Saccharomyces cerevisiae S288C: one gene and its partner. The gene in region 1 interacts genetically with each later gene. Each region holds a gene or a part of one and is shown in the gene's direction. Other genes may lie near its edges.

The links. Genes that interact genetically often act in the same process or in processes that back each other up.
Region 2: mutations in ALG8 (region 1) and UBP14 together harm fitness more than expected from each alone (negative genetic interaction), as found in Saccharomyces cerevisiae (2 studies listed by BioGRID).

Annotation. Positions count from the first base shown.
Region 1 is NC_001147.6:451,169-455,042, reverse strand, and holds ALG8 (dolichyl-P-Glc:Glc1Man(9)GlcNAc(2)-PP-dolichol alpha-1,3-glucosyltransferase), read left to right. Parts: upstream 1-1,580; coding exon 1,581-3,314; downstream 3,315-3,874. Other genes in the region: VAM10 (Vam10p), read left to right, coding at 830-1,174; VPS5 (sorting nexin 1), read right to left, coding at 1-1,275; MSA1 (Msa1p), read right to left, coding at 3,718-3,874. UniProt on the Saccharomyces cerevisiae protein: Dolichyl pyrophosphate Glc1Man9GlcNAc2 alpha-1,3-glucosyltransferase that operates in the biosynthetic pathway of dolichol-linked oligosaccharides, the glycan precursors employed in protein asparagine (N)-glycosylation.
Region 2 is NC_001134.8:353,172-358,002, reverse strand, and holds UBP14 (ubiquitin-specific protease UBP14), read left to right. Parts: upstream 1-1,985; coding exon 1,986-4,331; downstream 4,332-4,831. Other genes in the region: serine/threonine protein kinase AKL1, read left to right, coding at 1-1,142; TSC3 (Tsc3p), read left to right, coding at 1,437-1,679; MUM2 (Mum2p), read left to right, coding at 4,710-4,831. UniProt on the Saccharomyces cerevisiae protein: Required for the adaptation to the presence of glucose in the growth medium; mediates the degradation of enzymes involved in gluconeogenesis when cells are shifted to glucose-containing medium.

The DNA of each region.
Region 1 (3,874 bases):
TAGTAGTTGTATCTCACTTATCCGGACTTCTGACAGATCGTTGCTATCATTAATAGCGCCAGATCCAGTCAAAAATGCCCTTTTTTTAGACTCTGAACTAAAGTCATCACTTGTCAAAAAGAGTAGAAAATCTTTGTCCTTTTGTAGAACCGGATCTTGACATATTTTTTTTAACATGCTTTCCATTTGAAATCTTCTATTTTCAATGAAATTTTCCTTAAAACTGCCTACTGATTGCTTCTCTGGTGGTGGTGGTATTACTTTACCCCAATGGTTGTTCTGCAATTGACGATATAGCCACCTGAAATCTCTGTAACGCCTGCTTACCTGTGCATATTTTAGCTCAAGTAATGATGATTCACTGATTACAGTATACTCCACATGAATGGATGTTAGCTCTCCTACTTTGACCGGGTCTTTAACTTCAACTTTGAAAGCCACAGCCTTTTCGGTTGGTGGCACCTTTGAGCCAATCTTGGTTTTTCCAAACTTTTCTGAGTTTTCCTCGACCTCAGCAGGACTTGAAATATTAGCACCTGTCTGAGGAAGATTGTATAAAGGCCTGTCCACTTGCTCAAGGATATTTTTTTCAACAGAAGCTGTGAACTTGCCCTCATTGTTTTCTCTCCTTTCATTCCTATCGTCCAATGGCTCTTCAACAAATTCATTCTCTTTTTCAGCTTTCTTTAAGGGATCAGTAAAGGGTGTTTTGATGGTATCATCGGAAGCAGTTGTTCTCTTCGCTTTCAGAGAATGGTTGCGTTTGGAGTTTCTTTGAGCTCTGGCGGAATCAAACAGAATTCGTGGTTTGCCGGATCTTCTTCCAGAGATGCTTTTTGAAGTATTTGGTGAAGTGTTAGCATCGTATATCGTATCGTCAAAAACTAAGGGAGAGTTGGCGTTTCCAGTGAACAATGCGCCACCGGATTCTCTTGTTGCAATAAATTGTGTAGTGCTATTCTTGAGATCAGCAATCGGATCCTGTTCAGGGGCTAAAGAATTAATAAGATCGTCAGCTTTGGAATTGTCATGCTCCTCTAGTTGCGGATTACCAGCCACCGACAAACCAGGGTCTTTCCATTCTGGCGCACTATCCAAGTCTATCTTGTCCGCAAATGAAGCTGTGGTCTCTAAAAGCTCATTGTCTTTTCTTTCTTCATTTGTAGATATTTGACCAATTGATTCAATTGAATTTGAAACGAGGCTCTGAGTTTTATCTCCCTCATGATTTAGTTCGTCCCAAACAGGTGCTTCTAGATTATCCTCGTAGTCCATGGCTTGTTATTGCAGGATGTATGAAAGTTTATAAAATCCCTGCTGCAAATTAAGAGATATATGGTTTCGTTCACTACGTAGTTATAGTAAATAACCTTTGCTTAACCCATTTTTCAAAGCATTTTTAAAATTTACTGTTATCACTTAGTTGTTCTTAGCGGACAACTTCCGAAAAGTGAAATTTCATTTTTCAAAACGACAATAGTGGTATAGAATTATAGAATAACATACGTTAAAAATAGCTGAAGTTCATTACAGTTCTGTAGTGGTCAGCAAGGCATTTGACGTCTATTGGATAGCCTACGATGAAAGGTGATCGTTCGAGGCAAAATATGGCTGTGACAAAGAAGGCAAAGTTAAAAAAAAATGACGAGCCAAAAAAGGTTTTGAAGACTGCCGCGACCGAAAAAGGTGAGGGATCCAAGCGCTACTCCTTATGGAATTTCTGGATAAGCACATTGTTTTTAAAATTACTATTGATTCCTGACTACTTCAGTACAGATTTTGACGTTCATAGAAATTGGCTGGCAATCACCAATAAATTGCCCATCAGCGAATGGTATTATGAGCACACTAGTCAATGGACATTGGATTATCCGCCATTTTTTGCTTATTTTGAATGGTTTTTATCGCAATTTGTTCCTAAATCTGTACGTGATGACGGTTGTTTGGATATAGTGGAGATCGGAAAGTTCGGTTTGCCAACAATCGTTTTCCAACGACTCACTGTCATCTTCAGCGAAATTCTTCTATTTGTCATCCTTCAAATATACATTAATACTACAAAGCTAAGTGAAAGATCTCAAAGTTTTGTGGTTGCTTCTAGCATTGTACTATCACCCGGGTTTTTAATAATAGATCACATTCACTTCCAATATAATGGTTTTCTTTTTGCGATTCTAATAGGCTCCATTGTCGCCGCCAAGAATAAGAGATACATCTTGTGCGCTGTTCTGTATACTACAGCCATATGTTTCAAGCATATATTTTTATATTTGGCGCCATGTTATTTCGTGTTTTTATTGAGAGCATACGTTCTCAATGTCAACAATTTCAAGTTTAAAAGTTACAAAGATTTTTTGTTCCTGATAAGATGGGCAAATCTTTTGAAGTTGGCTACCGTTGTTGTTGGAATTTTCACTATTTGTTTCCTTCCATTTGCTCATCAAATGCCGCAAGTGTTGAGCAGGTTATTCCCATTCTCAAGAGGACTGACGCATGCATATTGGGCACCAAATTTCTGGGCGTTGTATTCTTTTATGGATAAAATACTCACTACGGTAATGTTGAAATTACCGTACGTCCACACTTTTGCTACAAAATTTATTAAACCTCCTCTGATCCCTCAGAATATCAAGGAAATTAATGAAAGGCTCGCGGCAAACAACAATGGAAGTAAAGGTCTAGTTCAAGACGTATTTTTTGTTATTCTCCCTCAAATTCCTCCAAAATTAACGTTTATTTTGACGATATTTTACCAGGTCTTAGCAGTACTTCCACTTTTGTTTGATCCATCGTTCAAAAGATTTGTTGGCTCGTTGACTCTCTGTGGGTTGGCATCGTTTTTGTTCGGGTGGCATGTGCATGAGAAAGCTATAATGCTAGTCATCATTCCGTTCACATTTCTTGTTGGATTTGATCGTCGTCTTTTGGTACCGTTTATGTTAGTTGCCTCAGCTGGTTATGTTTCCTTGTATCCTCTTCTGTACAAAGGCCAAGATTTTTTCATTAAAACATTATACACTTATGTTTGGTGTATAATTTATTTTGCCGCTTTTAGAAAAACTACGAAGATTTCTTCAAGTGTAGAAAGAAGAATCTTTTTCTTGGATAGGTTGGCATTAACGTACATCTTTTCATTGTTACCAATCGTCACCGTATTACAAATATTGGATGAAGTCAAGTGGAGATATTCATTTTTGCAAAAATTTGAATTCTTAGGATTAATGATATATAGTGTCTATTGTTCATTAGGTATAATCAGCTCGTGGTTTGCCTTATCGTGGTTATATAATTTTGACGAATTACTATGGCAGTGATACAATATCGCTTCCCTAGGACGTTAAAAAAAAAGTGATATAAAATTATTTATATATGAATCGATTTTAGAAATATTTATTGTACATTTTCACCTACTAACTAATTGAATAACGATTAGATTTCGATTTATGCAGTCCCTCACGCCAGTTCCTCATTATTTTTCGTTTACGTATTGTGCGTTTTACACTTGAATTAAAATAACATTACATTAAACTGAATGAAGGTCAACTCCATTCACATGCATCAGTTGAAAGGTATATAAGTACTACTTCAATATATTATCTATCAGCTCTGGGAAAATGCTTTAAGAAGGAAAAAAGGTAAGTAAACTATTTTTTAACGCTTCATGATTATTGAATGGTCCTTTTGGCTCATATCGTTTTCATGAATCTATGACTATTTTCACTGATCATCGATTAATCTTTTCAAGGCAGTTCTAGCATCATCCTGTTTGTTGCTGTACGGGTTTTGTTTTAGTGAATCGTCAAAGCTAGAGGGAGCTTTCCCGGTTCCAACAGGGAACCCGTGTAAATTAGGAGTTGCACTGTTCGAAATTGAA
Region 2 (4,831 bases), on another chromosome or scaffold:
AGCAGCAGATGCAAGTTCAGCAACAACTGCAAGTCCAACAGCAAATGCAAATTCAAAATGCAAATAATAATGGTACTTACGTCTCTGATAGAACAAATCATACCACAGAAGATATGAGAAATGCTCAGGGGGGTGAACCTCCAATTCTTGCAGGAAATTCTGCAAATGAACCAATGCACTCATCCTCTAAAAATGAAGCTCTCTTAATTGAACTATCTCCATTAAAAGAAGATGCAGGAAAGCAATCTTTCCAAGATACAAATGAGCCTCAAACTGGCGGTATCGAAGATGCCGGCGGTTCAGGAACTATCAAAGGCTCGAACAATAATCGAAATGGCGTTTTAAATTTAAGTTTGAATGAGATGGACTTATCAAGAGATGATACTGGTGCTGCTGTCTCCTCCTTTTCATCGTCTTCATCGTCTGCATCAATTCAACAAGCTAAGCTTTCTGGACGCAAAGGTTCCAGTAAGAGGAACAATTATTCAACAGACGAATTGGGAGATAGTATGGTCTCCAGCGAAAGCATTGATATTGATTTGGATGATGCAAGGAGAGGAAAAACAGCTGAAAGAAGACCACTCCATAATGAAAGAGGTCATAAAGACCAGGCAAGATCAAGTGATGCTAGTAAGTCTAATCAATTCAAAAGCAAGGACTTCAGCAGCGTATCAACAAGGCAACCGCGGCAGTCATTGGATCTGAATTTCCAGGAAGTAAATCTGTCTTCACCAACGTTAACTCAAGAGCATAGAAATAAAAACGACTCGCCAGCACCAAATTCACATCACTCGTATAGAGTTTCACCTCATGCTTCCACCGCAATAACTGAGAATAAGCGCCACAGTACTGGTCACGAACTGTCAACCCGGTCAAATGGCAAGCATGAAACACACAGGACTGGTTCCAAGCAAAGGCACGATTTGGAAAGATACCGGCATTCGAAGGATAAGGATAGCAATAGCAGCATTACTATTAGCACCTCAACTCCATCAGAGATGAGAAAATCCTTCGCTAGGGCCCGTCAATCGCTTGATTTGGAAAGGGTCCGTCGTGAAGCGATGGCAAGTAGTGCATCCAGTAGTGGTGGCAGTAACGGGAAAAGGAGATCTTTTTTCTCAGTCTTTAGAAGCGAGAAATGATTCGATAAATAGAGCACATATAAAATCATATACATACATTGTTACATATAGAGGCGCAGACAATCCGTATATCTTCCTCAAAAACTAAATTGATAGAACAATAGTAACTCAAATCATATGCATTAAGCATATCGTGCGAGATGACGTTTACTCCTGACGCGCTTAACGAGAAGCGGTTAAGTGAAGAGTAATAGTGCTCGCAATTTGACAGAAATGACACCATTTTAAAAGTACTAGAGATAAAGAGTGTAGAAACCGGAAGAACAAAGGTGGAACATATCATAAGGGGAAGAAATGACACAACATAAAAGCTCGATGGTGTACATACCCACCACTAAGGAAGCTAAAAGACGTAATGGGAAATCAGAAGGCATACTAAATACTATTGAAGAAGTGGTGGAAAAGCTTTATTGGACCTACTACATACATTTACCCTTTTATTTAATGGCCTCTTTTGATTCATTCTTCCTCCATGTTTTTTTTCTCACAATTTTCAGTTTGAGTTTCTTCGGTATACTAAAGTATTGCTTCCTTTGAATGATTATTTATATCCTTATTCGGTTAATAATAGTATAAGCTGGAGGCAAGGGGACAGAAAATTTAGGAGGATATCATGGAGGATAGAGTTACATAAATATACACACAATACATAAACTAATAATTGCTTGTGGCTATAGGATATAATTTATAACAGTTGATGTGCCTTTGAAAAATGACATCGTTTGGAATGAGATCAAATTTATCACTTGATGAAATCACAGTGAAAAGCGACTTGCAATGGCAGTAGAGATGACAGGTAAATTCATCCAAAAAGAGAGCCCGAAGTCTTTCTCACATTCAGAAATGGCAGAAGCAGTACTAGAAAACGTTAACGTTCCTGCAGTCGTTTCAAAAGATGAGTGTATTTATTGCTTTGAATCCCCTTATAATGAACCATTGGCCCTCAATGCATCACCTAAACATTCATTGAATATATGCTTAAACTGTTTCCAAGCTACGTGCAACAGACATGTTCCACTCCATATCCGAGTCACAGAATATGCTTGCGATACCATACATTCCAATTATTTAACTATTGCTAAAGTGGAGAAACCTAAGCAAGAAAATGTAGAAGAAAATAATAACAACAAAAAAATAAAGCTACAGGTAATTGAGACGTCAGAAGACGACACCCACAACACTATTTGGAGTTTACAAAGGTTCAATGGTGAAAATGTTCCCAGGACCGTACTTTCGAAGTCGACAGACTCTGACATTTCTTCTACGGCCTTGGAGAAGATTGAAAAGATATTAAAGGCGAAGTCACAAGACTTCGAGGATAAGAAGAACTCCTGGGTGTTAGAAATCAGCACCTGTCCACATACAGAAAACTTTCAAATTCCATCTAAGCCCGAAAATACTGTGAATTTAAACCAATGCTCTTCCTGTGATTTGACTCAAAATCTCTGGTTATGCCTACATTGTGGTAATATCGGATGTGGCAGGGAACAAATCGGGATTGATGGTCACTCGCATGCTTTGGATCATTATCGGAGTAATAATAATCACCCATTAGCTATCAAATTAGGGTCTTTAAGCTCTTCAACCTATGATCTGTATTGTTACGCATGTGACGACGAAACTAGATTTCCAGATAATGTTAATTTAGGCAGTGCACTACAAATATACGGAATTAACATACAAGAAAAGATTGCGGATGAAAAGACTCTAGTTCAATTACAAGTGGAACAGAACGAAAATTGGCAATTTAGAATGGTCGATTCTAGCGGTAAAGAATTTGAAAAATTATCCGCTAGTAAGAATTATGGCTGTGGTCTGATCAATTTGGGTAATTCCTGTTACTTAAATTCGGTTATACAAAGCTTGGTGAATGGTGGCGTCCCGAATTGGTCCTTGGATTTTCTAGGAAGTAAATTTCCACTGGATGTTGTATATCCGGACAATAATTTAAAGTGCCAATGGATCAAGCTACTCAATGCCATGAAATGTGAACCCGAACTATATCCAAATGGTATCAAACCTACTACTTTCAAGAAATGCATTGGGCAAAATCATCAGGAATTCAGTTCCAATAGACAACAGGATGCGATGGAATTTCTAACCTTCCTTTTAGACTTGTTAGACAAGAAATTTTTTTCAAGTAGTTCTTCAGGTATTCCAAATCCCAACGATTTAGTTAGATTTATGATGGAGGATAGGCTCCAATGTAACATTTGCGGGAAGGTTAAATATTCTTATGAACCCACAGAGGCTATACAGATTCCCTTAGAGGAGAATGATGAACCTCAAGATATGTTAGAGAGAATCAAGGCGTATTTTGAAGGGCAGACGATTGAATTTAAATGTGCTAATTGTAAGGAAAAGGTTACCGCAAATAAAAAACCTGGTTTCAAATCTCTTCCTCAAACACTTATTTTGAACCCAATAAGGATTAGATTACAGAACTGGATTCCTGTTAAGACAAGTAATGAGCTTTCTTTACCAGGTTTAATAGACAGGGATGATATGCTAGATGTTTCGTCTTATTTATCACAAGGATTTGATCCTCAAACTGAAAACTTATTGCCTGATGAGGACGAAAACCGTAGCTCTTTTACGCCAAACCAATGCAGTATTTCTCAATTAATTGAAATGGGCTTTACTCAAAATGCTAGCGTGCGCGCCCTATTTAACACCGGAAACCAAGACGCTGAGAGCGCTATGAATTGGCTATTCCAGCATATGGATGACCCTGATTTAAATGATCCCTTTGTCCCGCCTCCTAATGTCCCCAAGAAAGATAAGAGAGAAGTGGATGAGGTATCATTGACTTCAATGTTATCCATGGGACTAAATCCCAACTTATGTCGTAAAGCCTTGATACTCAACAACGGAGATGTTAATCGTAGTGTTGAATGGGTATTTAACAACATGGATGATGATGGAACATTTCCCGAACCTGAAGTGCCAAATGAAGAACAGCAACAAAAAAAGGATCTTGGATATTCGACCGCTAAACCGTACGCTTTAACTGCAGTTATTTGTCATAAGGGAAATTCTGTCCATTCTGGTCACTATGTTGTTTTTATTCGTAAACTAGTGGCAGACAAATGGAAGTGGGTTCTTTATAACGATGAGAAACTAGTTGCTGCCGACAGCATTGAAGATATGAAAAAAAATGGTTATATTTATTTCTATACAAGATGCTAAAAGAACGTTTACACACACACACACACACACACACACATATATATATATATATATATATATATATATATATATATATTTTGCATTATATGTGTATGATCAAATCTATCGAGTTAAATATTTCTACATATTTCAGTAATAAATCCATTTCCATTAGCTATTTTGCAATGTTTTTTCTTTTTTTTTTTTGCTGCTGTTACCTTCGCCGCTAAAAAATCATTTAAAACAAGAAAAGAGTACATTGTTTGATGAAACAACAAGCAAGAAATGTAAACGATAGTCAAACTTAGTAAGAAGAGAATCAGCTGGCTTGGTACTTGATCTTTTGATTTGACCTCATTCTTTTTGCATACACGGCTCGTTTGGAATACTGTTGTAAAAATGAATTACATGGCTTATGATTATGATCCCCAACATTCGTTGGAAACGTCCTTTAACAATTTGGCATTTCATCCCCACCAACAGTCACAGCAACAAGCCCTATACGAATCTGGTGAAAGAAA